4 linked regions of the Schizosaccharomyces pombe genome follow. The protein of the gene in region 3 purifies or fractionates together with the protein of the main gene of each other region. This does not show direct contact. Each region holds a gene or a part of one and is shown on either strand. Other genes may lie near its edges.

Evidence for each region.
Region 1: the proteins of red5 (region 3) and pir2 purify together in Schizosaccharomyces pombe (affinity purification with mass spectrometry; 2 studies listed by BioGRID). This does not show direct contact.
Region 2: the proteins of red5 (region 3) and red1 purify together in Schizosaccharomyces pombe (affinity purification with mass spectrometry; 2 studies listed by BioGRID, with this or other methods). This does not show direct contact.
Region 4: the proteins of red5 (region 3) and pab2 purify together in Schizosaccharomyces pombe (affinity purification with mass spectrometry; 3 studies listed by BioGRID, with this or other methods). This does not show direct contact.

Annotation. Positions count from the first base shown.
Region 1 is NC_003423.3:1,215,718-1,223,515, forward strand, and holds pir2 (C2H2-type zinc finger domain-containing protein), read left to right. Parts: upstream 1-3,687; 5' UTR 3,688-3,791; coding exon 3,792-3,855; intron 3,856-3,907; coding exon 3,908-4,015; intron 4,016-4,069; coding exon 4,070-4,100; intron 4,101-4,171; coding exon 4,172-5,798; 3' UTR 5,799-5,873; downstream 5,874-7,798. Other genes in the region: serine/threonine protein kinase Ppk31, read right to left, coding at 1-204; peroxisomal targeting signal receptor Pex5, read left to right, coding at 1,302-3,098; BAR adaptor protein Hob3, read right to left, coding at 6,643-7,389, 7,432-7,479.
Region 2 is NC_003424.3:5,068,665-5,077,570, reverse strand, and holds red1 (protein Red1), read left to right. Parts: upstream 1-3,672; 5' UTR 3,673-3,698; coding exon 3,699-3,843; exon of another isoform or gene 3,844-4,121; coding exon 4,122-4,182; intron 4,183-4,382; coding exon 4,383-6,109; intron 6,110-6,153; coding exon 6,154-6,359; 3' UTR 6,360-6,640; downstream 6,641-8,906. Other genes in the region: protein mcp3, read left to right, coding at 1-2,435; ASTRA-associated protein 1 Asa1, read right to left, coding at 6,769-7,875; serine protease Psp3, read right to left, coding at 8,376-8,906. UniProt on the Schizosaccharomyces pombe protein: Promotes the exosome-mediated degradation of mRNAs containing a DSR (determinant of selective removal) signal sequence from mitotic cells.
Region 3 is NC_003423.3:1,046,230-1,054,115, forward strand, and holds red5 (zinc finger CCCH domain-containing protein), read left to right. Parts: upstream 1-5,373; 5' UTR 5,374-5,850; coding exon 5,851-5,893; exon of another isoform or gene 5,894-5,967; intron 5,968-6,103; exon of another isoform or gene 6,104-6,109; coding exon 6,110-6,139; exon of another isoform or gene 6,140-6,184; coding exon 6,185-7,242; 3' UTR 7,243-7,386; downstream 7,387-7,886. Other genes in the region: Erg28 protein, read left to right, coding at 1,306-1,447, 1,559-1,649, 1,714-1,891; dre2 (anamorsin family protein), read right to left, coding at 2,335-3,201; SPOM_SPBC337.11 (peptidase), read left to right, coding at 4,086-5,063; Gtr1/RagA G protein Gtr1, read right to left, coding at 7,549-7,886.
Region 4 is NC_003423.3:1,936,644-1,943,923, reverse strand, and holds pab2 (poly(A)-binding protein Pab2), read left to right. Parts: upstream 1-3,135; 5' UTR 3,136-3,167; coding exon 3,168-3,203; exon of another isoform or gene 3,204-3,254; coding exon 3,255-3,508; exon of another isoform or gene 3,509-3,563; coding exon 3,564-3,651; exon of another isoform or gene 3,652-3,707; coding exon 3,708-3,830; 3' UTR 3,831-4,553; downstream 4,554-7,280. Other genes in the region: serine/threonine protein kinase Ksp1, read right to left, coding at 1-697; HECT-type ubiquitin-protein ligase Pub3, read left to right, coding at 5,445-5,623, 5,966-7,280.

The sequences.
Region 1 (7,798 bases), 170 kb from region 3:
AAGATTATCGGTTGCTTTCTTCATTAAGTGTTCATCATCGCTTTGAAGATACTCATAGAAACTACATTGAAATAAATCTCCTTCGTAGCCGATTAATTCAAAAAATGCAGGATTGGCATATTCCACTATTCCATTTTTTGACATTTCAATTTTCAGCAGAACTTCGTGGGAAAGTATCCTCTTCAATTGCTCTGGATTAGTCATTGTTTATCATAATTGAACACTTTAAGCTTCTTGGTATAAAAGAAATTGTATTCAAAGTTGTGTAAAATCAATGCAAATGGTTCTTACGCGATAGTTTTTCGGCAAAGACTTTTAATAGTTTGTAAGACTCGTATAATTTAAATACCTTTTTTTACTTATGAAGCGGAATTGTTGTTGTATACAATGTTTTCGTTATTATAACATCATCAATTTATTACTTGGCTTTATTAAATTCGCCAACTAATATGCTAATTCATAATGAGATCACAATTTGAACGAGCGATTTTTAGCACTTTAATTAGCGACAGGTTCTTTAACAAATATTTGTCGGATGTGAACTGTAGGTGGCATCAATTGGTATTAAGCAGAAAACAACCAAAACCATTGTTACAGCGAATATTGACTAGCGAAAATTAATTAGTTTTTTAATACATTTTATTGTGAGCGACAGAAGTATTTGGTGATTTAATTCATTTGGCGTTGTAATTTAGACAACAGGTGAATAAATAGATGTAGAGTTAATACTTCAATCCAACCCTTGGTTTAACTTTCTAATCACACTAATTTGAAAAGAACTTAGAAATAATATGGATTTTTTTCTCTGTATCATAAAGCTATGGTTTTAACATATGCAGCATGGTTTACAAAAGTATAATAAAATGTTGAAATCTAAATTCCTTAGTGGCAATAGATTAGTCTGAAAAAATAAAGAGAAAGTCTTTATTATAAATTGATATGGGTTAATGTGGTGTATTACAGAAGCGATTAATCTAACGTGCTACGCTCAGCATCTACATGAACTGAGCGCACTCATCTAAATATTTTTGTAATTGGTAATAAGCAGCAATACATGCCTGAGTTTATACGCAAGTTTTGTAACAATCATTGGTGCGATCAATTTTTGTTTTTTGGTTAGTTGCATCGTTACTTCTTCCGCTTTTTTGTTTTCATATTTTTGGTTTTTAAAACACATCGCAAATTCAATCAAGTTGCGAAATTTTTCATTCTTTGATATTAATTTTCTTACAACCTACTTAAAAAACTATTTCCTTTTGGTCGAGAGCCTTTATATTGGCTATAGTCTACTTTCTTCAAAAATGTCTGTTGAAGCAGGATGTTCAACGCTATCTAATCCTCTTAAGAAATTGACTTCCACAGCTGTTGTCAATAATTCAACACCTTCAGCTCAATATCGAAAACATTTAACCAAGTCTCAAAGTCGTACTTACGCTCCTTTGCAAACGCTGTCTGAGGATCAATTCACATCTTTCAAAAATCTCCAAGGAAACAATAGTCCTTTAGGTAATGTAGTTAAGAACCCAGTTAGCTTAAAAACTGGAAATCATACCGGCACAACTACTCGTGGAGGCTCGAAAGAAAATTGGGTACATTCTTTTTCTTCTCTTCAGCAGCAGAATAGTAAGTCGGCTTGGACATCAGAATTCTCTGAAGTATTTCTCAATTCATCTGAAAACGACCGTTTTCGAAACTTAAACCAACCTTTAAAACAATCTTTTTTTGGTTCCGCTGGACTAAATTTATCTTCAAATACTGAAATACCCTTACAAAGTTCTTTAGCTATTGACGAAACTGAGTTGGCTAAGAAATTTGAGGAAGCTTCTCAAATCTCCAATAAATTAGAGAAGGAAAAGGATGCTACTGGAAGTAAATCAATTGAGGAGCTATGGGAAGAGCATCAAAAGCAATTGAAAAACGCCGGGCTAGAGCCCGCAAGTTTAGAGGAATACCAGAAACAATGGGAAGATTTTTTAAAGTCAAACAATATTTCTGACGATCCTTACACTTCGTCTGTGAATAGCTTTGCTAATGATAATTTAGCTCATAATAAAAACATAGATCCTCAAATTTTCCAGCATAGCGATACTGATAACGTTGTTGAAAACTCTTTACAAACGGAAGATGTATATTCACAGAACCAAGATGAATCTTCAGAGGTTGTGAAAGAGCTAAACGGAATAGATCCATTTGTTGAAGCCATGAATTTAATAAAAAATGGAGGATCTATCTCGAAAGCAGCTGTGTTATTGGAACAATCTGTGAAAGAGAATCCACAGCACTTCGAGGCCTGGAAATGGTTAGGTCGCATTCATACTCTATTGGGAAACGAATCGCGGGTTGTTGAAGCCCTACTTGAAGCTGTCAAATTGGATTCAACCAATCTTGACTTAATGATGGATCTTGCTGTGTCTTATGTTAATCAGTCTCTAAATGTTCAGGCATTGGTTTGCTTAGAAGACTGGATAGTCAACAGTTTTCCCCAATACCGAAACAGGTTTGCAAAGATAAACGAAAGGTTTGAAGAGAAAGATTCTGCTAACGATCTCTTGAAAATGCAGATGTATTTCTTGGATGTAGCTTATGAGTTATCACTTGCTAAGAAGCGTTCCTCCAAGGTACAAGCTGGATTAGGAATAATTATGTATATGTTGAAGGAGTATGAGCGTTCTGCAGATTGTTTTCGGCAAGCTCTTCAAGACGAACCAAGTAACGAAATATTGTGGAATAAGCTTGGTGCTGCTTTAACAAATGCAGAAAAAAATACTGAAGCTGTTTCTTCCTATAATCGGGCAGTATCTCTACAGCCCCAGTATGTTCGAGTTCGCTCAAACATGGCTGTTTCCAACATCAATTTAGGATACTTTGAAGATGCTGCAAAACATCTACTTGCTGCAATTGATATTATACAAAACAGTTCTACCTCAATGGAGAGCTGCGAATCAAATGAGGAACTTTGGGAAATGCTTCGCAAAGTATTTTTGATTGGATTCCAAAGTACTGATCTTGCCTCTCAGTCCTATCCTGGAGCAAACACTAGTTATATACGAGCCCAGTTAAGTGATCTCCAAGGTTGGCCCGGTGTTGAGCTCGAATAAATCTCTTAAAGCAAACGTGCTTAATTCATTTTTCATGTTATTATTTATTTGGTTGTTTTTTTTTTTAAATTTTTTGTCTGAGGCATATCTTTTAGAGGACGTGCAAAAGCTACTTTTTTTTTGTTGCACAAGAAATGAGATAACTTACGCTTCAATATCTGAAGCAGAGAACAAAAGTAAAAGAAATCTTACTCTATGCTACCAAAGTTACTATTGGTATGCAAGTTGTACCTTTCTTGACCGTTTATACAATGGAAATTAGATCTTCAGTGATTTGAAAACAGATGTTATTGTTTACTTTTGTGAGAGTGCTTCTAAGCTCTTTGTAAGCACAGTTTTTTAAGTAATCCAACATTGTATTTATTGACGATAATGAGACAATGTTTAGTATTAATTGTTCAATAGCATTCGCATAAAATTCGAAGTCTCACTTTTTTGTTTAATCATTTGCTTTTATAATCTCAGTTTATTTAGATATACTGATGCGTATAATAAAGTATTTGACAATTTTCTATATTTTGAATAATGAAACTTAGTGTACCAGCATAAAGTGCTGTATGGATATTTCTCTCTCGTAAGAACATTCTTCAACTAAGCAGGTTGAGTACCAATTTTGACCCAATTGAAATCATTAGTTTTTTAATAAATTAATCCCGATTGCTGGTATTTATAGAAGGGGAACAGTGTCAAAATATGAGTGAGGTCCATCAAGAAAGTGAAGTAGAGTACAGTCGTTGGAAAAGAGAACGCTCTCCTGGTAAGTTGTTAATGTTTAGTTTGATAGAAATACTCATCCTTTTTTTGCATAGAACGGAGTCAAAGACGTTCACAGAGCCCCCCTGGTGAACAGTCTGCGTATCATCGAGAACGGTCTCCTCTACGAAAGCGTGGTAATTACTATGATGATAGAACAAGAGGTAAGAATAAATATAAAATTCTATGAATTGACCTATTAACTACAATACGTCTAGCTTCTGGACCTTACCCTACATTTACTAAACCGTAAGTTACGACTAAATAAATACTCTACTCGATGTGAGTGAAAAACCAAAGTTTTCTAACAAGGAGACTAGTTTAATTGATCCATATACTCAAACAAATGCGGTTTCTTATGAACGGTTTATTCGGTGGTATAGCAAGGAAAACCATATATCCGCAACAACTGAAGACTTATACAACTCGCTTCATGGAACTTACAACAATTATAAACAGGATCTATACGCTAGGACCGCAAGAAGTTTTGTTGAGAGCCATTGTGACGAAGCTTGGTTTGAAGACAGCTATTGGGTGGACGAGTCACAAGGAAGAGTCCTTGAAGTGTCTGAAAATGAGAAATCTTATCGCCGGGCGTTATACGATAAATTCATGGACAGATTAGACGCCGGTTATTATGATGATTTTCAGCTTCCAACCGCTGAGGATGTAATCGAAAAGCCGTCAATACCTGATAATGATACAGATGACTCAATTCTTCCTTCTAACGACCCGCAACTTTCCAAATGGAACCAAGACTCTCGAAACGATGCAATGGAAAATACACTATTGGTCAGTCATGTTTTGCCCAACATCTCGGTTGCGCAAATTCATAATGCACTCGATGGTATTTCGTTCGTACAACATTTTTCCCTTTCTACTATTAATTTAATCAAGAATGATGAACGCTCACTTTGGGTTCATTTCAAAGCAGGAACAAATATGGATGGAGCTAAAGAAGCGGTGGATGGGATTCAATTGGATTCAAATTTTACTATTGAATCTGAAAATCCAAAAATTCCTACTCACACGCATCCCATACCTATTTTTGAAATCGCTTCTTCTGAGCAGACATGTAAAAATTTGCTAGAAAAACTAATCCGTTTTATAGATCGGGCTAGTACGAAGTATAGTTTACCAAATGATGCTGCACAACGTATCGAAGATCGATTGAAAACACATGCATCTATGAAAGATGACGATGATAAGCCGACGAATTTTCATGACATTCGTTTAAGTGATCTGTACGCCGAGTATCTTCGCCAAGTGGCTACTTTTGATTTCTGGACTAGTAAAGAGTACGAAAGTTTAATTGCTTTACTGCAGGATAGTCCTGCAGGTTACTCGCGGAAAAAGTTTAATCCATCCAAAGAAGTCGGTCAAGAAGAAAATATTTGGTTGTCAGATTTGGAAAACAATTTTGCTTGCCTTCTTGAGCCTGAAAATGTGGATATTAAAGCAAAAGGGGCATTACCCGTTGAAGATTTTATTAATAACGAATTGGACTCTGTTATTATGAAAGAAGATGAACAAAAATATAGGTGTCATGTCGGAACATGCGCGAAGCTTTTCTTAGGACCTGAGTTTGTCAGAAAGCATATAAATAAAAAGCATAAGGATTGGTTGGATCACATTAAAAAGGTGGCTATATGTCTCTATGGATATGTGCTTGACCCATGTAGGGCTATGGATCCCAAAGTGGTAAGCACGTCGTATGTATCCTTACAGATTTTAAACAAGCCCTACGTTGGTTTCAGAAATATTAACGCAAACTATACATTTCCAACAACAAGCTATAGTCGACGAAATGACGAGGAGATAACTTCTGGAGCATCATCACAAAAATCTTATTCGAGGCAAGAACCCATGATCCACAGACGGGAATTCTATAGAACTTATCAAGATTTGGATGCGCCTAACCAGGAGGTTCCAGAATTAGATTACTAAATTTATGTTCTTAGTCAGAAAGATTTTTGGTTAATATCATTTCCTGTATAGACGTTACTAGCAGTTGTAGCTCCATACTATATTTTAGATTTTAAAGTAGCGATAATCTACATTCACAGCTATTGTAAAATTGAACGCTTAAGTCCATGTTCGAAAATCAAACATCGAACGCTGCACAGATAGAAATAAACCCACTTCCAACTTGACTTACAGCTTACAAGATAGCTATTGTTTGGAAAATTAATAAATTACAATTCAAATTAATAATTCGTAAGTCAACAAAAGCATTTTTTTTTCTAATTATTATATTTTAAGATTTGGTCTAAACTTACTTAACAATAGTTATTTATTAGAACAAAACTTGGTACGAGATAGAAAATAAGCACAGTTTAGTAGATGAATCGCTGGGTCGACAGACAATATTGGAAAACCAATTTGTTTATCTGATAATTTGATAACTATTCCCAATTAAAAAATTATAAAGGAAACGTTACGAAACTGAAAGGATGTAGAAGCTTCACAGTTGAGTCTTTAATAAATATGTGCTGGCTTTCCCTTCAATTCCAGTAACACCAATAGAAAATACTCGAGGATAGATAAGTATGGAAAATATTTATGTATCACAAAAAATTGAATAAATTGAAAACATTCCGTGAACCACTTCAGATAAACAAGATAAGATGGTAATAAAGTAGTAAAAGAGAAAGGATATGTTAAACAAAAAGTATTGAGGGATAAGAGATCATGGTTACGTGTAGTAACAATTATTTCGGAGGAGAAAAGGAAAGAGAAAACAGAGTGATAGCGCTATGCACACATACAATCGTGTTTAAAAAACCGATGTCTACTGACTGTTGTTCAAACCGGCGATGGAAAGATCCCGCATACTCTGTAAAACTTGTTCAACTTTATCATCCAACAAACCATTGGAATAGTCTTCGCGTACAGAGTTGTCAAAGTATTGCTGAACTTGAGCCATTTTCTCATATCCCTCCCTACAAAAGCGGAGCTGAATTTTGACAAGGGCTTCAAAGCTAGGGTCCAAATAAGGCACACGAAGAGCAATTAGTTGCGGAAGCTCACTGACCAGTTGATTATTGAGTGTCTCGTAGACCTCCTTCGCCATGGCTGCTTCTTTCTCGGTACGGGGAAGCTTAGTAGTGTCGTTGGAAGGCTTGTCGACCAGTTTTTGAACCTTAGCCCTCATAGCATCATGATCAAGTAATTTGTGATTACGCTTCGTGATAGCGGCATTAATATCGGGAAAGTAACTGCAGAACCTTGAGATGGGATCCAACACCGTTGTCCGGAAAGGACCGTCCAACTCTTTTACGGTATCGGCGTCCAAGTCTTCGACGACTTGTCGATAGTATGCACTGACACCATCCTTCGATCCAGCATCACCGTAAAATGCATCGATTGTGTTAGCGATTCTAGTTTGAGACGCAGTCATGGCTCTCAAAGCATCGAGATAACCTTTGGCTTCTTTTTGAAGCTTCTTTGCAGCTGATTCCATAGTTCTATAACGTCTTTCCTCTGTTTCAAATTCCCGATCCACCGTTCGCTCAACATGACCCGTCTTCATCATAACCTACCACAATGTTAGACAATTCTTCAACACTCAAATACATACCGAGGTACCCGCTCGGTTAACGGCCTTTTTGAATCCATGCCAACTCATTTTTGTGATATGGAAAAGAGAAGCGTCGGCATACCCAGATATCTTATGTCAGTTGATCGCTGCGCTAATGTTCGCTAGCTAAGCTGCATTGGATCTTTTAGTGGATTCAGCAGGATTCGCGTAGGGAACAATTCACGGAAGCAAAGCCATAACGTAAAGCCTGATTGCGAAGTTTATCATTGCGTTAAATAGAATAATGATAGTTTATTTCACAATGCAATTATAAAAAGATAAGGATGAAAAGCGTGTCGTTAATTTTGTGTTTAATTGATAGAGCAAGAGCATAATGGTGGTAAATTTGGGTTTCGAGGGTTGGCTT
Region 2 (8,906 bases), on a different chromosome or scaffold from region 3:
ATAATTTCACTTTGACGCTTTATAAATTTTCTTTAGATAACCAAACATTTTCTCAATTACTTTCTCGATTTAAATCTTTTGCTACTTTGACTGAACTACTTCAAGTGCACAATGTTATGCTTCAAGTAAACTTTTCCTTTCAAGCAAGGCAACTAAACACAGAAATTCAACTACGACGATGCCATTCGTTAGAAAAAACATGGAAATTCTTATTTGGCGATTATGAATTACCTGATGTTCTAAAAGATATGGAGTCATCGAATAGTGATTGGAGTGACACATCTCTGAAACGAATTGCCTATTTATGTTCTCTTGTTGAGGAGCTCAAACTTCATTCTTCTATTATGAACGACAAGTATGTGTGCCTTGTGTCCAAGCATAACAACGCATTGGAAGACAAGTTTAACAGTGAAGCCGCGCGTCAGTTGTTGCAGAAATCTCTAAGTATAGTAGCGTCAAATTTGAAACAAGCCGAAAATAAAACTATCAGTTATGAAGAAAAGCTTTCTATAGCTCAAAATTCTATTAATGAAATTCAAACCCAAAACAGGGATTTAAAACTTGAAACCGAGAAGTTACAGGATCAAATCAAAGCGTTGCTAGAAAGAAATCAGTCATTGCAAGAAGCTCTAGAAACTGTTAAAAATGATGAAAAAAATCTGAGAGAAATGAACGCCAATTATGAAACCGAGATGAAAGAAGCGCGTCAAAAGTTAAACAACAAGGAGGCATTAATTAGTCATTATGATGATGATTTTCGAGCAAAAGAATTAAAAATTTCAAGACTTTCCGAAAGTCTTAGAGAAAAAGCAGGCTTATTGGAGTTTCAGTCTTCTGTTAGTGAACAAAGGGATCTACTTTATCAAGAACAAATACAGTCGTCAATAAAGGATATGGAGAATGTATTTCGAAAAAATGAATATCTTATGGAAGAACTTAATGAATTAAAGAACAATCTTGAAGTGGAATCAAGTAAGGTTTTGAGACTTGATGAAGAAATGAAATGCCTAAAGGATGAGCAACTCTCTCAATTTGACACGGTCTTTAGTTTGACTGATGAACGGGATGGATTACAGAAGGATTTAAAAAACACTAAGGGAAATCTTGACGATGAAATCGGGCGCTCTGCATTTTTAAAAAGCCAAATCAGGGATCAAGAGCTAACTATTGAGAAGCTCCATGACAGTTTGGAGACTTTAAGTCAAACTAACAATAGTTTACAGTGTGAGATTTCTGAAAAGAATGCAGAGTTAAATTCAGTAAACTCCAAACTTTCTGAAGGTAGAGCACACCTGGAAACCGCGAATAAGGAGAATGAGATATTGAAGCAGCAATTGGAGTTAAGTGAATCCAAATTAGCCAGTTTGTTAAACTCTTATCAATCATTTATTAATAAAAAAGAGCACCTCTATTCTTTTTTACAGCTTGTCGAGCCATCGTTCGCTAAAAGTGATTCATCTAATGCTACCGAATCCCAAATTTCCGAAAGTGTACGAAAAGGAATTTCAATATTTAATCTTTTGTTCATTGTTTACAAAAACGTATGCTCTCAAGCTGGAATTAATCCATCTACAAAGCTTGAAGATCTTGATGAACATACACTTTCTGATGAGCTGACTTATATAACAAAAAAGTTTGTACAAAAGGATCAAGAATACCAAACGAAGGAAATCGAGTTAAGGAATTATAAAATTACTCTTCAGTCGTTACTTGAAGATAAGCTTATCGGTGTAAATACTGATTGCAGATCACCTTCTTGTTCAGACTTTGAGCAACTAGGGCAAGAAAGCGAAAATAATACTTCTATCTCAGGAAGGGTTAGTAAATTAGTCAAAAGCTTTAATGATTCATCTTCTATTTCCAACAACACAAAAATCTCAATCACTAAGTCCCCATCTGGTGAGAAAGTTTCCGTATTTAAAGAGATGTCAGACATAGCTCTGCGCGATATGGATAAAAACAGAAAATTATTGGGAGAAAATGTTGACGTGAGAAATATTGTTGTCCAAAAGGATGAGTCATTGAACATTGACTTACAGAATAATGCTGTAGTACCTGAACTGCACTTCAAGGAGGGGATGGTATACGATTCATTGGAAAATGCGTATACTTATTTGGCCGAATCCAAACGCATGTTAGCAAATGAACTTCAGATGAAGCAAGAAGATCTTGAAAAAGTTATTTTAGAACTTGAAGCTTACAAGGAAATCTTCTTAGAAGAAAAACAAATTCCTTGTGAGGAGTTTATGCCAGGTAAGAACGCAAAATCCGAAAAGTCACTGCGGTCAGTTTTTCAAGAGCAGTTGATGAGAGAAACAAAGCGAGTTCGAAAATTGGAAAAAGTAAACTCTGAATTGAAATTGCATTGCTTTGAACTTTCTGAACGATTGAGGGAGCGCGAGCATACACTACAGCAAACATTTGGAGACAAATAGTATGTTCGCAAGTAGTAACAGATCAAAGGTACTAGCCTCATTGAGATTACCAATAAATAATCTATGAATACGGTCTTTCGTTTTAAATGCTTGAAGGCCGCCTGTTAGCCTCAAATGATAACTTGACCGGTCTTAAAATTTCGAGGTTTATGGGGGAATTTCAATAATAAATAATAACAAAATCTAGCATTTTTGTTAGGTGATTACATGAAAGCGTTTTGATCTTAAATCATTTCTTCAAGCTCCTGAAAGGCTAAATTTTTCATGTAACGGATTAAACAGACTAAATTCAGATTAATAACTTAAGCAACGGAAGAGTATGTTATAAAACTGCACGATTACATATTCCTCGGTCTTTAGTATTTTTGCACGATCGGCCTTGTAATCAGATACGGAACTACCTTTTCGATGAGGGTTTTTAGTAAAAAGAGCTATTACCAGTGTTACTGTCAATAGTCGGCTTTCGTGCTAAAACATCATAAACGGATACCCGAACTTTTATTGCACACGAAATTTGCATAAAGCACAATGTTTTTGTTGTTTTTAGTTTATGAACTTCAAGTTTTTAATAAAGGCCAAAGACTGTTCCAACGTTAAAACCGAACTGAGCGAAAGAATATTTCTTTTTCTCATGTGCTCATAGAAGGATATGCTAGTAGAAAACATTATCATTATTGGACAAAGGTTTAAAACACAGTTTTCTCATTTTCGCTATTTTTCTTGAACTTCTCCAGATGTTCTATGTTTCTATTTATGAGACAAGGCGGCCGCTACTAAATTACTGACTAGTCCATTAAAAGCAGATTTCCCGCTATAATTTGATAACTCAAAAATGTTATTTCACCTTCGCGTAAATTTGTGCTGTAAACTAGCAAAAGATAATTGGATGCGAAAGCTTTGAATCACCGCTACACTTTTCGTATGAGCAAGCCAATAAGGCTGAACATATTAGCTGTTCTTGTGTTACTTTTTAAAATTGTTTGAAAATATATTTGCTACATTCAGTATACCTGTTCAATAGACTAATTCCGAATGTTTTGTAAATAAAGAGTCTTAGTGCATATTTCAGACAGTTCATTAGAACAAATAAGAAAGTATTCAACCATCAATATCTTTATTAGGGAATAACATGCTCTGAGGTGAAAAAACTTTATGTGCAATAATATTTAATGTTTTTCGCGTTTCACTGTCTTAACTGGTACTACAAACAAAACATCTGCTGTTGAAATTTGGCACTACTAACCCAGTTTTAGCTGTAAATAAATGTCCCGGTCAATAAATCTCGATGAGTTGCGAAAAAAGGCTTTAGAATCAAAAAAGAAGAATGAAGAAGATGAGAGTAATGACTCTGACAAAGAAGATGGCGAAATTAGCGAAGACGATCCTGTTATAGATCAATCAAATTCAGGTAAGGTAGATTAGAGATGGAAATTTACACAAATATATTGTGAAACGAGACTTTTTGTTTTTATAGGCTTGTTCGCATTTTATTGAGTTTTCCTCGACGATTGCTTGCATTCGTTTAGAACATTTCATATCTCTATTTATATGCGTGGCTTTTTTTTTTTTAAAGAGAGAAAAATAAAGCTGGCAGAAGCCTTTTATATGTATTTGGAAATTATGTTTTGATATCCATCTTTTCAATTTTCTCACCGTTTAAATGAATTCGTTTTTTTAACAGTTTAGTTCCGCCAATGAAAGTACCAACCTTTCCTGAGCAAATTCCTCAGTTGCCTCCTTTTGATAGGTAAGCATGGCATTTGATTAAACCTGTCAGTGCAGCTTATTTATCTTTTCTACGGAGCTATTCTCCGCTAGTTATGCTGTTCTGTACGGTTTAACTCCAACTTTGGGATTACGAGAATGACAATTTGTAAAATTTCCTTTTTTTTTTTCGAACTTGAATACATTCAACCCATCAGGTGTCTTATCTAACTAACACACTAGATTTCCTGGAACTAACGCGAATTTTTTTCCATTTGGCGCACCTTTTATGCTTCCTCCAGCTTTGATGTTTGGACCAAATACAGTTCCTTTCTTTCCTCAAACCGCCTCCTCAAACAAAACCTTTTCGAAGCGCAAACGGTCATCTGAGAATTCATTCAACAACCGAAATAAGGCGAAGTCTTCTGAAACATCGGATTCTTCTAATACTTCCCAGTCATTTAAAGAAAACCGGGCTCTTAAAGATACCGCTACTAGCCGACCATTGGCTTTATCATCCGACACTTCTTATCAAAAGAGTGAAAAGGCAAAATCAGAAAAATCACCTTTTCTTTCAACATCTAAAAATTCTGATGCAAATTATTCCAAGACTACTAATCAAAAGGAAGCAGAGAAAGCTGTGAGTCAGTTGTTTGAAGTAGGAGTGCGCTTTAACGATTTTATTGCTGAGGGCATCGAGCCTTCGGTTGTTCATACTTTATTTTTAAAGCTCGGACTGGATTCCTCTTCTGCTAGCTCCCAAGGAAGTCTGACACTATCTGCAGACAAAGCTGCTAGGTCTGCTAAACTTCGTAAGATTGACAGTAATCTTAGTGACACACATATATTACCTGGCGATAATGGTACACCTACCGTCCTTCCTGAAAGAAAAAATCTTATATCTTTACCACTTTTGAAGCAGGACGATTGGCTATCTTCTTCGAAGCCTTTTGGCTCCTCGACTCCAAATGTAGTTATTGAATTTGATTCCGATGATGATGGAGATGACTTTTCGAATTCGAAGATAGAACAATCTAATTTAGAAAAGCCCCCCTCAAATAGTGAAAATGGTCTTACTATGTCTCGTTCAGATTACTTGGCGCTTCTTCGCAATAAAGAAGAGGAAATACGGCGAATGACAAAGTTGATCTTACGGCTTGAGTCTAATAAAAAACCGTATAGATCGCCAACTTCTGCCGCCGATATGAAACTTCCATCTGTCCCTGTAGCTGCGGTTGACAACAAATCTAAAACACACTTGGATACCTTTGAAAAAGTCGTTGATCTTAGTTCCAAAGCCGATTTTGTGGAGGCTGGACCTTCTATTAGCTCGTCAGGAGCCTCGTCTAGTGCTGCAACTACGAATTCTGATACAACTGAGCAGATATTAGAGGCACCTTGGCTCAGAAAGACGGAACAAATTGCTGTGGTACATGAAGAGCATCCCGCACAGATTAAAAAATCCGAGATTGACATTTTAAATAACTTAATAGAAAAAGAGGAAGGAGAACTAACAAAATATCAAACTTTGGTGAAATCAAAAACTGAGATTCTAACACAATTGTACACTAGGAAAAAACAGTTACTCGAACAACAAGGGAAAGGAAATGTTGCATGTTTACCTAAAGAATCTGATTTAAGTATGGACTCAATAACCGAGGTTTCCGCCCAAGCAGATGAGAACTCATCACAGATTTTGTCTTCCAAAACGTCAAACGCGCCAAATGGGACGACGGAAACAGATTTTGAGGATAAGGTACCGCTTGTCGATTATATCTCTCCATTTTACCGCTTTAAATCTTATCGATTTAATCAACAATTTGTTGAGCGAGTACCGTTGAAATATCGGTCGCTTACCTACAGCAATAAGATAGAGCCGATGAAAGTTTTCTGTAAATACGAAACCACTGGTGGTGTTTGTAATGATGACCATTGCGAGGCGTCGCATTTTCGCGACATTAAAATGACGGGTTATGGTATTTGTGCTGTTGATTTTTGACTAACCTTTATACAGATGATGAAATTATACAAGATTTATCAAGGTACATCGAAGGAAATGATGAAATTGAGAAAGAGTCTTATAAATCCGGTTTAGATATAGTCATGAAAAATACCGATGAGAACACCGATTTCGTCGATGTTGCTACTCGAATCGTCGAATATCATAATCTTTGGAAGTCGGAGAGAATGACAATTCCTGTTGCAAAGGTTTCCATTTAGATTGAAACTGCCAAGCAACATCAAACTAACTGTAAAAATTTTGACCGTCAAAATTACGTCCTTGTACTATAAACATCACTATACATAAACAATGGCTCTTTGCCGTTATAAAACTAATGTCACTACTTAATATAGCTCAGGTTAGAATTATGTCTTTCGTACTTTCTATGCTTGCATATGAATCGCTCATCTTATTTGAGGCGATATCAAAATACTGGAAGATTAAGCATTTACTAGTCTGATATTTAATATATTTAATATATGTAATACGTTTAAAATCATTTCAATGGTTATTGATAAAAATGCGCGTATTGTAATAAGAATGAATTGAATCCTGCAAACCAAAAGTAAATGATTTCTTGAAAATGATGATGGATTAAACGTAACTGTAATGTCCTAAACTTTTGCCCTAATACAACTTCCAGAGAGATATTCTGGTGTCTTTACTAGCTAACGCAATCACGTTGCTGCCTGGATGAAAGGCCAAACTATTAATACCATCGGAGTGATATTTCAAAACCGCTAAAGGAGCTAATGTCTGGCAGCTGTAAACACGACCTCGACCATCCCATCCTGCAGTTGCTAATATCTTGTTATCACTTCGTATACGAATATTTTGTTGTCCACAATGCTTTGTCTTTCTAAATATAGGATGAGGCAGACTACCAAGATCATCAGCTATAGATGAAGGAGTAGGATGCAGACATATACAGTCATCAGCACCCGTTGAAAATAATTTGGAACCAGCGTACTCTACCGATAAAACTGGTTGAGAATGACTTTTGTAGGCGTAAACCATCTTCCAAACAGCTTTAAAATCGAGGGTAACAGTCTTTACATTTTCTAATGAACATATGTACTGAACCACATGACCGCTTTCGTAACCGGCAGCTAATAGTACATACTTCTCGTCAGTAACGGTTACTGAGGTTGACATTACTGATCCTGTTTTACCAACAGACTCTTCTGGCTGAATTCTCGTCTGTAGTCTTTTTCCGCAATCCTCTTTGTGTGTTTGAGGATGATACAATGATTCATCATCATATACATCAAGCTCTTCAAAGTTCAATGTATTGCATAAAACTACTATTTTAGATTGAGGAGAGTAAGAGAAGGGGCAAAAGGTTAGGGAATTAACAACGATATTGGAATGAATAGATATAAATGCGCTGCTCTTCTCAGTTTCAGAAGAGGCTTCAGGACCGTAATTTTGAAGTTCAGCTAGTTTTGATAATGACATAAAATTGTCGGTCATGCAATTAAAATCGATTTTCCAAGTGACGAGACGACAGTCTCTACCGTGAGTGCATAAGGCTCCTCCCTTGACTATTTGCATGCCCAATATGGTTTTTGTATGAGCTCTCCAGGCGCATTTTGGTCGCATACTAGTAAGACACCAACAAATTACAAAACCTGCCTCATCACCAGAATATAAGTATTCATTAGCGTCAAAAAGTACACTAGTGACACTGCTAGAATGACCACGTAAAACGTAAAATGGAGTAGGAACTACCATGAAAATTTAAATTAAAGCATCCACTTTGAGCAAATATTTGTAATCATCAAGCTGAGAGGATAGGGGAACAATACAAATTGAACTGTAAAACGAATTGTTGGTGGTAAGGGAATCAATTTTAATAAGCGGTATAAGACAAAATTATAACGGTGAATCCAGAAGGCATTTTTTTTTACCAAGTGATATACCATACTTGTCAAACTACATATTTACTACTAGTACGAATGAACGATAACAATAGTGCAAAAAGTAGTAGATAAGAAAATGAAATAAAATTCTACTATACCTGACATTACAAAAAAAAATCAGTCCTAAAAGAACAAATTGGTATCGTTTTAAATGATTTCATTGCTAAACATAACAAATGTCATTACTCTGAGCTTGTTCGTCTGATGACAGTAGATATTCAACAACTTGGTTAATTGATCATTCGTATCGGAGCATCAAAAAATAAACAATCAAGGTCATCAAGCTAACATTTACATACACATAACTAGCGTTTACTCATAATTGTTGAAGGCAAGGACATTAGGTGTGTCCTCAGGAATGCCATTTAATAAGTCTTTTAGGGCAAACTTCAGCATATACTTCTTCAACTCCACAGGATGATTAGCCAGCGAAGGATCGAGAGAGATAAAATAAGCAGCCAAACCGGCGACATGAGGAGAAGCCATAGAAGTACCAGAAAGGATCATAGAAGCCCTGTTAGATCCAATCCAATCAGACAAAATTAAAGAACCAGGAGCAAAGATATCAACGCAAGATCCAATATTGCTAAAAGAAGCAATTTGATCGTTCCAAGTAGAAGCACCAACAGTCATTGCATTGGAAACTCTGGCTGGAGAGGTACCGCAAGCATCCTCTGCATCATTACCAGCAGCAACGGCAAAGAAAAGTCCACCGGCAATAGCGGCATTCACAGCCAGATCAAGAGCAGTACTTGCATCACCGCCGATGGACATATTGACGACACTTGCAATTGATTCCTTGTCTTTCTTAGATTGCTTAAAGGCAAACTCGATACCTTTAAT
Region 3 (7,886 bases):
CAAAGGAGGAATTAACATTTTTCTAGTCCTAGGCCGTTCAAATAGATATCCACAATTTGAAGAACAATTAAACAACATTATCTTTTCCAATTTCAATATTTGAATGAAATTTGCTCATAAATGTGCTTTCCTTTGTGGTTGAATGAGAAAATAATGACAAGACTATAAAATCATGTGCGATTTAAAAGACGAAAATAAAAAAAAAGTCGACAATACGAACGATTATTAAAAATCGTTTTACATCCTTAAAGTATTGTTTATCATCATTAGAAGCATAATCCGAAAGATACCATGGTCTACGATATATGTGCTCTTTGTAAATTTTGATGTTTATACTTTTTTTTGATGTGGGTCAGGTTTGTGACTGGGAATTTGGAGTAAGCTGCGCTCATGCTTCTTAGCGATAATTAGCATAGTTTAATGCTTTTTTAATGAATAATTTATATAGATGTTAGGTTTTAAAACGCAGATTTCTTATTCATATGGAATTCTACTAATTTCTTATGTAGCACACGGAGTATAATATATTTTGCTAATCAATAAGTTAACCGCCAACCTGAAATATTAGAATACTCATCTACTTTGAGCTGTTCCAGGTTACAATTGTACAAGTAGTATCAACCCATCCCTAGTATTTACATAAGTGTTTCCGTACAAACGGTGGGTTACTTACAATAAGATCATTAAAATAATTAATTCTCCTGATTATGGTTCTAAGGTTACTTGGATTTTTGAAAACTCTACTATCAAGTTATGTAAATTAAAAATAGTAAAGCCGGTACTTAATAAAAGTATACATTCTTGCCATTTTTTGGACAGCAATTCGGCTATGTATATTTGATCCTTGGTAGAATCCTTTCGTGTTTTTACTAAGATATACGAAAATATAAGTAGACGAGGATCTCTTACTACCTTTCTAATTGCTAATGTGCTAAGTCAGCCCCAGTTATCACAATCGTACAATGTCAACAATTCACCGGGACGTTACTTATGCAATAACCTAGTTGTAAGGATATTCTCACCGGTAAATCCCAACCCGAAATCAGCACTGAAAAAGAAATCTCTTTGAAACCTCAGTAAAAAAGCATCTCTTTTTACATTGAAAATAAGCTTACTTTGTTGTTTTATTATACTAAATCTGTCTTAGCATAGCGATATAAAACATAATGTTCGCATCGATTTTACTAATTAAGTTAGTGCAAAACCTGTCAATGTTATAAATTGCTCACAGTCGCTTTTCTCCAATTTAGTACTGTAATCCCTCAACTACACACTACTAGAAATTTAATATCCTAAGAAATAACAATGTCTCAAATACTAGCTATGCTCCCAGATAGTTTAGTTGCCAAATGGAATGTTGTGGTCAGTGTAGCGGCGCTTTTCAATACCGTTCAATCGTTTTTGACTCCAAAGTTGACTAAGCGTGTATATAGCAACACTAACGAAGGTAAGAATCATGGTTTTTACGAGTTTAATTGATTTATAATACACATAATAAGCTCTTTAATGATGCTTTTTTTTATTAGCTGATTATTTTTTGCTGACTTTATATCTGTAGTCAATGGATTACAAGGTCGTACTTTTGGCATCTGGACATTACTAAGTGCCATAGTGCGTTTTTATTGCGCATATCATATAACAAATCCAGAGTATGTTGAATCAAATCAAACATTCAATTTCCAAAATCATCTGATATTGTCTAACTTCTATTAGTGTGTATTTTCTATGCCAATGCACATATTATTTAGCCTGCTTTCATTTCCTATCTGAATGGCTTTTGTTCCGTACTACTAACTTGGGACCAGGATTGTTGAGTCCAATTGTGGTATCGACCGTTAGCATTTGGTTTATGGCGAAAGAAAAAGCCTCGATTTTGGGGATCGCTGCTTAACCTTTTTTTACTCCCCCATTTTACGTATACTATATTGCTTGGAGAGAAGAGAAGAAAAAGAATCAACATAAATCCATCATTTTTATGCCTTCGGGCTTTAATGCAATGGTTCTATTTCTAAACCATTCTTCAAATTTTTAGTTTAGATTCTAGAATGTTGATGATTTTAAAAAAATTAAGGAAAAGCATGGTGTCTTGTTTTTCGATTTCTTTGCCCAAAGACATAGTAGGGACTAAAAACCAATAGTAATATAACCACTTCAACTTCAATTTGCAACATTGTTAGTTCAAACTTAACCAGAACTTACAAAATCATAGCAAATATCGGAATTAAAAACAAATGTTAACAAAAAAAAGTATTTAACTTTAGTTTCAATTAGGCAATAGAACTGCAGTACGGTCATTCATAAACCGGAACATCTCAATTACAAGATAACCATAAATTAAATGTCATCAGCCATCCAGGACATCTTGTCACGATTTTCAGCCAATATAACTGTGTCACCGGGATTGAAGGCAGGCATTCCTATATACGGGCATCCACTACAACGAAAAGCGTCGCCAAGATAGCAATTTCCGCAACTTGAGACGGCATTTTTACTCTTGAGCTTCTCGGTGAAATCAACTTCGGTGGTGTCTGTAAGTTTTACAGCTTCTAACTGTGCGGATGTCTTGGAAGACTCGTGTTCTTCCATTTCACGTAATCCACAGGTACAGTTCTTGCAAGCACGCTTTTTCTTTCCAGGTTCAGGTTTGCACTCGGGCACTTTTAAAACATTATCGTGGGCACTTTCGTCTAACAACTCATCTTCATCGATGAGTTCTTGATCATCATCACCACTAATAAGGTTTTCCTTGTCAGATTTTAAGAAATCAAGAATTTTGTTTTTGCTCGCTGATTGACCATTTTTGTTTGATAATTTAATGGGAACTGCTTCCACCTGATTGGGACGAGATAAAATCCAAGGACTCTTTGATTCAATAAGCCATCCAGATAGCAAAGCTGTCATTTCAAATGACTCGTCTGCTTCATCGGCAGTAGAATAAACACGAAGTGTTCCTCCAGGATGTACTGATGCAAAGGCTTGTGAAAGTATAGGTCCTAGAGTTGAAGACCATGCACCATCATCAATGGCAGCAATAACTGAATCATATCGATTGATGGGTAAATTAACAAGTTGAGATTGGACGCGATCTATCATTTGCAACTCTCTAGAAGCACCATTATCGATAAGGTCAAAAACTTTTTTCAAAGACTCCTCTTTTGAAGCAAAGCCGGGAGACGTCAAAACAAGGACAGAAGATGACATATTGAGAGAAGATATTAACAGCTTAAACAAAAGCAAAAAAAGTAATTAAAATTATTATATTATTACACGTTTCAGCGAAATGAAACCCTTAGCAATTGGTAAGTAAACCCACCAACGAATACAAAAAACACTATCAATAATAAAAATAAAAACGAAATCTAGATCGTTGTAACGTATGTACAGACAATTAGAAAAAAGTCAAAAACTGTCTTCCTTTTACCGGTCTGAAAGTGGTAAAATTTTTCTTTTAATCAACGGATAAACAAAAAAGTTATCTGTAGATATAATATGAAAATTTCCACGCCTTAACGTTATGAAATGATCAATTATAGAGAAATAATACTCAAACAATAAAAAAAAGGAATGATTAGTATTTTGTTCTTGTTAAATTCTATTTACCACAAGTGGCGACGCTGTAAATTTAACCTGTTGATTGGTAATCCGTCAGCATGTCTTAAAATGAATAGAATCCAATCATGTGGCACTGTAAGGCATATAGCTAAAACAATATTGTGGTTTTCTTATATATCGTTATTTATGCTTATGAAGTACTGCGCATTTCGGTAAGTCATTGATTTCTACTTTGTTCATACTGATCGAACAAGTCAACGGAATCACCGGCTAATCGACTGAAATGTCGGGTCAAGTGAAAACTTGTGTTGTACTTTTGGCTGCACGCAACTATTTCCAGCTTTGAGAACCATTTTTTTGGTAATTTACATTTAATAGTCAAATATTTTTAGCCCTGTGTTTTTTCGAGAAATTTGATATTCGTATTTTGCCGTGGGTGTCATATACAAATTACATATCGACTGTATAAGATAATAATGATAACTTTATGTAAGACTAGAGGGTTTTTTACTTCAAAAAGAAGGATTTATTAAATGCAATACTATCAAATGATGAAGGCGTTACGAATGTTAAAAAAACCGAAGCCAGGTTGTTTGGGTATTGAAATTCAGAGTGTTCCTATTCCCCAACCAAAGAATGGAGAGTTGCTTGTAAAAATTGAAGCTGCTGCCATCAACCCCAGTGATCTAATGAACGCAACAGGGGGTTTCCCGTATACTGTTTATCCTCGAATCGTTGGGCGAGATTATGCTGGTACTGTAATTAGTGGCGCATCTCATTTAGTAGGAACTCGAGTGTTTGGAACGAGCGGTAGCGAACTATCATTCACTAAAGACGGTACTCATGCTGAATACTGCATAATACCGGAAAAAGCAGCTGTTCGTATGCCAAGCAATTTGTCGTTTACTGAGGCAGCATCAGTCGGTGTCCCTTTTACAACCGCTTATTTGGCTTTAAGCAGAGGAGAAACCAAAGGCAGCGATATAGTACTAGTGGTTGGAGCCTTAGGTGCTGTCGGGTCGGCTGTTTGTCAAATAGCAGAGGATTGGGGATGTAAGGTAATCACAGTGTCTAGGAGCGGCTCAACCGATATCAATACAGTGGTGGATCCGGAATTAAAAAGGGTCCACGAATTGGTTGAGAAAGTTGATGTGGTAATCGATACGGTGGGCGATCCTTTGTTGATGAAATCGGCTCTCAATCAATTGGGAATAGGGGGAAGGTTGTCTTATATTTCCGCACCTAAGCAAGGGAGTATAGAATTTTCGTATGACATGAAACAAATATATCGCAAAAATCTGAAGATTATTGGGTGCAATTCTCTCTTACTTTCGTTAGTGGAATCAAACTCACTATTAAAGAATATGGTCGCCAAGTTTGAAGCAGGGAAATATAAGGTATTAAACAAGAAAATTGCTGAAACATCTCTTACTGATGAATGTATAAATTCATATAGAAAACTTATGAATGAATGTTCTACAAAGTTTGTGATTACTATGAGCACAAATTAAGCGTCCGAAATACAGACTTACCAAATTGTTTTTTCTGTATAATCAGTAAATTTTAAAAGAACTATAAATATTTGCTTTGATCTTTCATATCGTTTATTATTATTATTATTATAAAGAGGTATCTATTCGTTAATGAAAAAAACAATTTTGAGCTACGCTTTAAAGAAGGATTATTTAAATTAAGTAAAAAGGATTTCATTATAATTAAAGCAATATTGTTTTAATACTGATAATTTAAGATAGTTTTTTTTAAAATATCGTTATAAAGCGTCGGTAATTACATTGATGCTACTCCGACATTGTTGGTGCCACCGACTACGCTACTCTAATCTGTCGACTTAGAAATACCTTACCACATCTAATTACTGTAAGAATTTATTTCAAGGACTTTTTCATAGTTTTTTTGTTTTTGTAACGACGTTTTCAAAAAGGTCATTGTCAAACATATAAGCTCTTGCCTGTCGTTAAAAAAAGTAAAGACCTTGGTTAATCGTTGTCGTTCAATTATTTGGGCATTTAACTTAAACAGTTTTGTTTAAGGAAAGGTTCTCAAAGACTTTTTTTTAAAAGATTCACTTATAGAACGAAAGACCATTAAAGTGGAAAACCACTCATTTTAAAACATTGAGCAAACAAGAGCTTTTGCATAATATATCAAGTGGTGGTTTAAAACAGGAAATACTTGGACGATTCAAGTTCAATAAAAGACATTAAAGCTGTTGGTTTATTTTACAAAAAAAAACATCCGTTCGTTATATTTATTTATTAGTTCTAGGCGGCATTCACAATGAACGAGCAACAATTGCTGGAAAATATTGCTTCATTAGCTGGTACGTTTTGATTAAATTGTATTAACGTCTTTTGATTGTCTGTTATACAGAATAAATTTGGTCGACTTTGAAGTTGGATTGGTTTAACTAATGAGCTTTTTGGTTTTTGAAACCAATGAATAATTAGGATTTTCAAGGAGACAGATTTTATGCAAAAAAATATCTTTATGTTTCTTTATTTATGAAACGCTCAGTAATAATATAACTAACCTTTAGGTGCTATCAATCAATATAAAAATGAAAAAGGTAAGATGCCCATTTATGAGGAACTTTGACTCATGATTTTAGCAGAACCTACCCAGGTTTTAGATGCCGCTAAAGCAAATAAGAATACTCGTTCGTATCCCTATTCTGTTTCTAGGAACTATTCTTTTATCCTCAATAAATCCAATCGCTCGAAATCGACAGCTGCTAGCCCTCCATATGTGATACCGTCAACATCATCGAATGCAGACGATGCCAATAAGGAACCTGAAAAACAATCCACATCTGACTATGTATCACGGAAAAACAGACATATGCAACTGATTAAAAAAAATATTCTTGAACATGATTTGCAAGCGAGAAAAGCTAATTTGGAGAGCTACAGAGCCAAGCTTGAGAAAGAATACAAAACTTTAGCCGAAAATAAAATCCAGCAAAGATTATCCGATGGTACTAAACAATTAGTAACTATTGACGGACTGCAGTATATTACCGGTGTATCTGATACCAAGTGGTTGGAATTTGTTAGTGCTAAGGGACAATGTCCAAAATATTTATATTGGAATAATAAGTCTTATCTTCTTAAAAAGAAGAGGTTTCTCAAGGAGGTTGGAAATTCACCTTCAGCTGTTTATTGCCGTTATTATAATGCTAATGGAATTTGTGGGAAGGGAGCAGCATGCAGATTCGTGCATGAGCCCACCCGCAAAACGATATGTCCGAAATTTTTGAATGGTCGATGTAATAAAGCAGAAGATTGTAATTTGTCACATGAATTAGATCCCAGACGAATTCCTGCATGCCGGTATTTTCTATTAGGAAAATGCAATAACCCAAATTGTCGATATGTGCACATTCATTACTCTGAAAATGCCCCTATATGTTTTGAATTTGCCAAGTACGGTTTCTGTGAGTTAGGGACGTCTTGCAAAAATCAACATATTCTTCAGTGTACCGATTATGCTATGTTTGGTTCGTGTAATAATCCACAATGCTCTCTCTATCATGGTGCTGTTTCCGCTGATGTACCAGAACAAACAGAAGCTCCAATATCGAAGACTGCTGGTTCTATAAATCCAGAAGACTCTGGATCGGAAATTGGAAGTAATTCCTTAGAAAGCAACTTGGATTTTATATCCGTTTAGATAATTCGTTTAGCAGTTTGATCTTGTAGAATTAAATTATCGTGTAGTTACGCAATGTCTAAACTTTTGATGATAATGAGTTATAATTTTCTATTAATTGAATACAATAAATTTTTAAAAAATATCATAAGATTTAGAAAGAAAATAGAAAAAGATTTCAACTAGTTGATAAAGAATATTATTTTTTAAAGACTAAAACTAAGAGGCTAGGTAATTACAGCAACAAGAGTAAAATACATTAGATCCACATTTTTTACGATTATCAAAGAAAAAAGAACAAGATTGATGGATCTATCAAACGGAAAATTAAGGTTGCAGTTGAATACCGTCCGAAGCGCTCTTTGAAGCTTCTATAAATCGTCGAGCACTTTGAATGTTCATAAGGGTTACTGCTGATTCGATTTCTGGATCAGCAATGACCACCAATATGTATGTGTCCTCAGTATATGGAACAATGAATGCAGAGAAATTACCACCACGAAGCTCAAAAGTAGTAAATTGAGCTTGCATTTTGCTACAACTGAGTTTAAATTGCTTAACAATATTGCTAATTTTTTCGAACCTGTGAGCATCAGTGGCAGGATTGGACTCAGAAGAATAAGAAGAAATAACCAAAAATGTTGTTCTTTCAAATAATATTACCT
Region 4 (7,280 bases), 890 kb from region 3:
ACATGTAATCAGCAAATATAGGATCCTTTTCGTGTGGATAGGTAAAAGGATTACGTGCAAAAATTAAGTTTAAAAGGCAAATACCAAGAGCCCATATATCCGCTGCACGAGGGCTGTAACCAGCACCATCAACTTCCTCAAACTGTTCAGGAGCCATGTAACGGTCACTGCCAGTTCCAAAGTCATAAGATATTTTGTCCCTGCAAGCAAGTCCAAAATCACTGATCTTGACCACAAGCTCAGATCCATCTTCTGAAAGAGAAAGAAGAAAGTTTTCTGGCTTTAAGTCACGATGGTAGATACCATGAGAATGCAAATGTGCAACACCATCAATGATTTGAAGAAAAATATTCTTAATCATTTCAGGTTGGTTCTTTGCATTTGGAAAATCATTATTCAAGATGCACTCGTATAAATCACCAAGAGGGCAATATTCGAGCACGACATAATAGTATACATTGTCTTCAAAAGATTCAACGAAATGAATGATGTTGCGGTGTCGAGACCGCGATAGCTGGCGCAAGATATTGACTTCTTGCAAAAAGGTATAAGCAGGTTTTTTGATGCACTTAATGGCATACTTCAAATCCTTGCAACGGGGAGTCCGAAAAAGACGATGGGCTAATACTACAGTGCCATACGATCCCTTATTCAGAGGGCGCTCAACTTTATAACCTTTCTTTTGAAGCAGCTTCATAATCACACACACTTTCGATTCCGAACTTTTCTTCTTTAATCAAAGTTTGAGAGGTCGAGCAGATGATAACTTAATGTCGGTCGAATGATACCTAAAATTCACAGTTTTCTTAAATTCTCCTTTAATAGACTCAAACAGGTCGTTCTTTGAAAGTTGAACAAATAATATAGATATGAATATAAATACAGAAATATATATATACTCTATTTGTTCTTCACAGTACACACCTGGGGAAGAAGAGGAAAGATAGTAAGAAAACAAAAACAAATTCCAGTAAACACTCAATCTCTAGAAAGCCAACACCTGTACAAGAAACAGGTTTCAAAAAGAGATTGGCGGAATACTTCGGCAACGAAATAACCTAGTAGAGGGAAGAAAAGTCGGCCTGGCTGTTCGAAGAGGATGGCGGGTATGAAAACAGTGGTTTCGCGTTGAATACTTTGGGAGAATTAGAATTTCGTAGCAATTCACTTAGATCGTGTGTGTATTAATATTTTGTTAAGCAAATTTTCTCATGTTGAACCCAGAAATGTAGCAGAAAACAGAACCTTGGTTGGTTGTTGTTGGTAGAGGGTAAAGTTATCCGCCCCCCCTGAGGAGTTCTTTTTAGTGCTGATGTTCCTTTGATTGCGATAGAGAATTTAACGAAATTTAGTGGAATATAGCACAATTATGTCGAGATAGTAGATGAGTTGGTAAGGAAGATTCGTGATCAATTTATCCCGTTCTGACTTCTTCTTCCTTATTCTATGATAACGTGACTGTGTAGTGCATTATTTCTCCTTAAACTTGTGCGTGATAAATAAATAAATATAAAATAGAACAAGTCGTATATACTAATTTATAGACACATATGCTATCGTCTACAATCTATTTTCATTTTTACTAATTGTTTTAATTATTTTTTCTCATCTTATTGAATTCTTTTCTCGTTTCTATCTTCGTTTCACCGATCGTTTTAGATGCACAAGTAACCACTGTTAACTAGAATAGCAAAGTAGATAGATGAACGATGGAAAATGTTCGATAATGAGAAAGATATAAGCCTCGAATATGAACTAATTATTTCGTACATTTTAATGAAATGATCTTAAAATTGCCTAACAATTTGCTTTTTGTTTGATCATTATGTTGCTTGGTTTAAGGAAGCTGCCATAGCAATTAAATATCAAGAGATATATAGGCCCTTGAATAGAAGTACGAGATTGGAAGGGATCATAGAAGCTTCCTTTGAGTTAAAACTCTGATTTATTAATTTTCTCCGCTTCGGTATGTGAATCGTCAACGGTGTCTAGAAGGTAATCAATGGTAGACTGCTACCGGATAAATAAATAGTGAAGTATCTGTAGTATTGGTTCTACAATTCGCATATGAAACGAAATATACCGTTACTTGATGCTTTATTATTATTTGTTTTATTCTAGTATTAGTTAAGCTGGGAACGGCTTGCTGTGGTTGATAGATAAACATTGTTGGGAAATTTCCATTTTATTAAATTATTAGTATCCCCAGGCAAAAAAAAAAAAAAATTGGTTTATTTAGACTTGGACTCTTTTTACATTTAAAGCGTAGAAACAAAAGAAGAAGAAAAAAACAATTAATATAAACGATAGCATTACGTTAGATGGGTTGCTGAACAAAAAAAAAAAAACACAAAAAACTACAAAATAAAGTAAAAAAAGAAATAATGGTAAAAATCAGAAAAAATAAATTAATTTATATAAAAATACGGAATATTATTAAAGAAATCAATTAAAAAACAGGAAGTTATTTTAAATAGACTTCCATTCAAAAATATCCCTTTTCTATATTTTTGTAATTCATCACCCTTGGCTATCGAGCTAATGAAGATAATACCAACCCTGGATACGTATATCAATGGTGAAGAGTGTGTAATAATTGAGTTCGAAGTTCCATGAAAGAACTACATTATGCCATACTTTATCACGTCTTATCGTATTTCTTTAGGATTCCACTTATTTCACTTCAAGTGGGAGAGCTCTTCAAGCAACTTAGGTATTCGTTACGTCCAAAAACTAAACATTTAACGGCATATCCCGTCAATCTCCTTAATTGTTTTTTAAAGATCGCTTTCTTATGAATTGTGATTTTAGCAATACAATAAAACCAAACACGCCATACAAAAATGTCCACAAACCTCACCTTACTTACTTGTGAGCACTCTCATCTTAACCAAGCATCCGAACTATAAGCAGGCAGTCCAAATCCTCGTTAAACACATATTGTACGTATTAACGAATACGAAAATATTACACCATATTGTGCTGTTTCATTCAGAAATCGGTTTTTCCGTCTCTAATCGTGCCATACGCTATTGTAAATTTGCGCGAAACAAAGCGTCGCTACTCTGAGAGCATAGAGGGAAACTTTTGTCACCCTCAACATGCTAAAGAATACTGGTTGAACAGTTTACTTCCAACCACACGCGTGTAGCAGAAAATTTGAAAAAATGAGTGATCAAGATGCCTTAGATACCCAAGAAAAGGTAGGAATTCAGACTGTGTAGTATGGTGGAATTATTTGCTTACATGATTAGGAACTATTGGAAATGAAAGAGCGAGTTGCTGAAATGGAAGCAGAGGCTGCAAAGCTTCGTGCCATGCAAGAACAACTAGATAATGAAACGGAAGCTTTGAGAAACGATAAGGAATCCATTGATGCTCAAAGTGTCTATGTTGGAAATGTTGATTACAGTGTTACTCCAGAGGAGTTGCAAAGTCATTTTGCTAGTTGTGGATCTGTTAATCGCGTTACCATTTTGTGTGACAAGTTTACGGGACATCCAAAAGGGTATGAATCGAACTTGTGGATGACGTTGGAATGTACAGCTAACCTAGTTTCGTAGATTTGCATACATCGAGTTCAGTGAACCAAGCTTAGTGCCTAATGCTCTTTTATTAAATGGATCGATGTTGCATGAACGACCTTTAAAGGTATGTAAAACAATCACAGTAACTACCAGCAACATGCATTCTAACTTGAAATGTAGGTTACACCCAAGCGGACAAACGTTCCTGGTATGAGCCGTGGTCGTGGTCGCGGACGTGGACGTGGACGGGGTCGTGGCAGAGGAGGATATCGTGGAAGAGCCCGTGGTTTCGCTCCGTATTAGGTAATCGCTTTGATGACTTGAAAAAGTGAAAAATGAATTATGAGCATTCAAATCGTCACCAATAACAGTTAGGTGGGAAAAGATTAGAAATGACATTTAACAGTATGTTGGAAATTAACTAGTATTTCTTTCAACTCATTCGTTAAATGTTTATATTCCTTGTTTATTCTTTTGTGTTGGATTACACGGGTTTCCTTTAAAGTCATGATCCCATTCACTATATTAAAACATATATGCTGACATAATGTAATTCACCGACCCTTCAATTCCTCTTGGGTATGGACTAGTTGATTGCATTTTTGTGTTTACAATGCCAGCTTCATAAAATTTTGTTGTATATTGTCGTTTTTATGCTTCTGATGCACGTTCATAATCTTCAAAATTTTCTTTTTTTTGTTTTTGAAAATTTATTTGCTCAGCTTAATTTCTCGTCATAATCTTGATCCGCTTGATTAGAAAAGGGGTCAGAAAAGGAAGCTACTCTATACACCGTATCACATATTACAGTCATCTCCTTCCTTTCTTGATTAATAAAACTAAACACCTACCAATGTATAATTTCATTATATATATATTTTTGTAATGAGGAGATACTTCTCTGTGTTCACCATTACATTTTGTGTTTAATATAGTGAAACACATTAACGTTCTTCTCTTCTCCTTTGGAGAGTTTAATGCTGAGGATCTTCTTATATTTCTAATAAATTTCTTGATTCTGTTTAATGATTTTATATAGAAAATGTATGACTTTCTTTTCTAAGTCTACAAGTTCATTTTTATATGTAATAATTGTGAGGAAATTAATTTTTAGTCATCATGATGTAAAATGACATTTAACAAAAAAAGCTTGGTGTATATCTAATTAAGTAGTTTTTACATAGTCGATTTTTATGTTCATATATTGTACATGTCGAGTCAATTTCTTTTAGCTACCTGCGGCATATTCCGGATTCCAGTACAAATAATTTCCTTCCTGCCTTTTACCCAACTCGTATAGGGAAGCGATAAATAAAAGTAACAAGGATAATCAAGTCAGTCGTTTCTACGCTGTGCCACTCAGATTCGATGACCTTTGTTTACTCTTTCGATTTGCCAAATATTAGCTGAGCGGATATTCGCTGAACTTGCGAGTTACACCTATTGATCCACTATTTAGCCAACCAACAGGTATTTACACTAGGATATTCCAGAGAGCATTCGAGCATTCGAGCATTCGTCTGTCGATTTATAAAAAGAGCCAATTTAGATCGTATATCGGTTTACTACTTCTACAACGAAAAAGATAAATTGGTCGATTTCCTCAACACTCTCTTTGCCTTTTTAAATTACATATAAAGTTGCTGTTTAGCCAGCGAACGCTTAGTATCTTTAAACGCATTTCCCTAGCAAAACAAGAATATCGTTGCGTAGTGAACTACAGCGTTCTTCATACTACCACCAAACTCCCCCACCTTCCTACTGGCTCGGAACCCCCGCTTCAATATTGAAACCTTTTGTGGTATACGTATCCGCTTTTACCATTTACCACAATCGCTTACATATTGAAGGTTTCGTGAAGTTTCGCGACTTTCACCTCTCCGCTTAGAGGAATCCAAGTAATTATATGTTAAGAACATGGAACAAGGAGCGAAAAGAGTCCGGTTCTACATAGTAGCTGCTGATGGATTAAGTAAACGGGATCTTTTTCGACAGCCCGATCCCTTTGCTATTTTAACGGTAGATGGCGAGCAAACTCATACAACGAAAGTTATTAAAAAATCGGTGAACCCTTATTGGAATGAAGGATTTGAAGTGTAAGCACATGACAAATGCGGCGGATAACATGATCAATTGAAAATAAAAAAAAAAGAGATGGTAGAGATTGGACCTTGGATGTTCTTAGATTTGGATAGATATGTTTATACTCTTAGTATTCACGTTAGTTCGGAGTCTAAGCATTTCTTTGATGGTCGGATAGTTTTTGTGGCTCCATAACGAAATTTTTTTAACAATTTTCTAATAACAACATCATTTGTATATTATCATATCCTATCCTTTTTGCAAATCTTTTATTACTACTGCATCTTTTTCTTTTTTTTTTTTCAATATGTTGATTTTGCCCTTTTCTTTGTTCCGTTATACTAACTAAATTCTAGAACTGTTAAGCCATCTAGCGTTATATCCATACGCCTTTTTGATCAGAAAAAGTTCAAAAAGAAAGATCAAGGCTTCCTTGGCTTAGTATCCTTTCGTATGCGTGAAGTTGGTAGTTTTCGATCAAATCGCGAAGTGTCGCTTACTCGACCATTGAAAAAATCTTCCACCACTAATCTTTCCGTTTTGGGAAATCTCGTATTGAAGGTGGCCCCGTCTAAAATTAGGGCTCCCGCCGGAAATCACTCATCTACTACAGCCAATCGCACTACTAGTACACCTACAACCACAACTGCACGTACTACTCGTACTACTCCCCGTCCGACTGCCACAACTAATACCTCGAATCAGTCCACTTCGAATTCGACTCGGAATGGCACTTCTGCTGCAACTTCAAATGGGACTGGTACTGGCGCTGGTACTGGCGCAAGTCATCGTTCTAGTCCTGTAACCAATCGCCAGACTAACAATACTAGTGCTCTTTCGAATTCGAATGCACATATCATGTCATCGTTTGAAGACCAATATGGACGTCTTCCTCCAGGTTGGGAACGCCGTGCTGACTCTCTAGGTCGCACTTATTATGTTGATCATAATACGCGCACTACCACCTGGACTCGTCCGGCTAGCAGTACAAATCCTGTACATAATACGTCGAGTGATAGCCAAAGACTTAATCATCAGAACAGACATTTACCTGATGACTCTAATCCATCTTTAATGCAATCAGATTCCGGAAACGACCTTCCTTTCGGCTGGGAAATGCGATACACAGATACAGGCCGCCCATATTTTGTTGACCATAATACGCGAACTACCACATGGGTTGATCCACGAAATCCCCTTGTGCGACCTAATGGTGGCTCTTCTACTGTGGGTAGCTTGATGCAGCCACAGTCACTTTCGCATTTGGGTCCCTTACCTAGTGGTTGGGAAATGCGTCTTACAAATAGTGCCCGTGTCTATTTTGTTGATCACAATACGAAAACAACCACTTGGGACGATCCACGTCTTCCTTCTGCCTTGGATCAAGATGTTCCTCAATACAAATGCGATTTTCGTCGCAAACTTATATATTTCCGTTCACAACCTGGTATGCGTCCTTTACCTGGCCAATGCAATGTTAAGGTACGCAGAGATCACATTTTCGAAGATTCATATGCGGAGATTATGCGTTATTCTGCTCATGACTTGAAAAAGAGACTTATGATACGTTTTGATGGTGAAGATGGTCTAGATTACGGTGGTTTGTCTAGAGAGTTTTTCTTCCTCTTATCACATAAAATGTTTGACCCGATTTATTGCTTATTTGAGTAC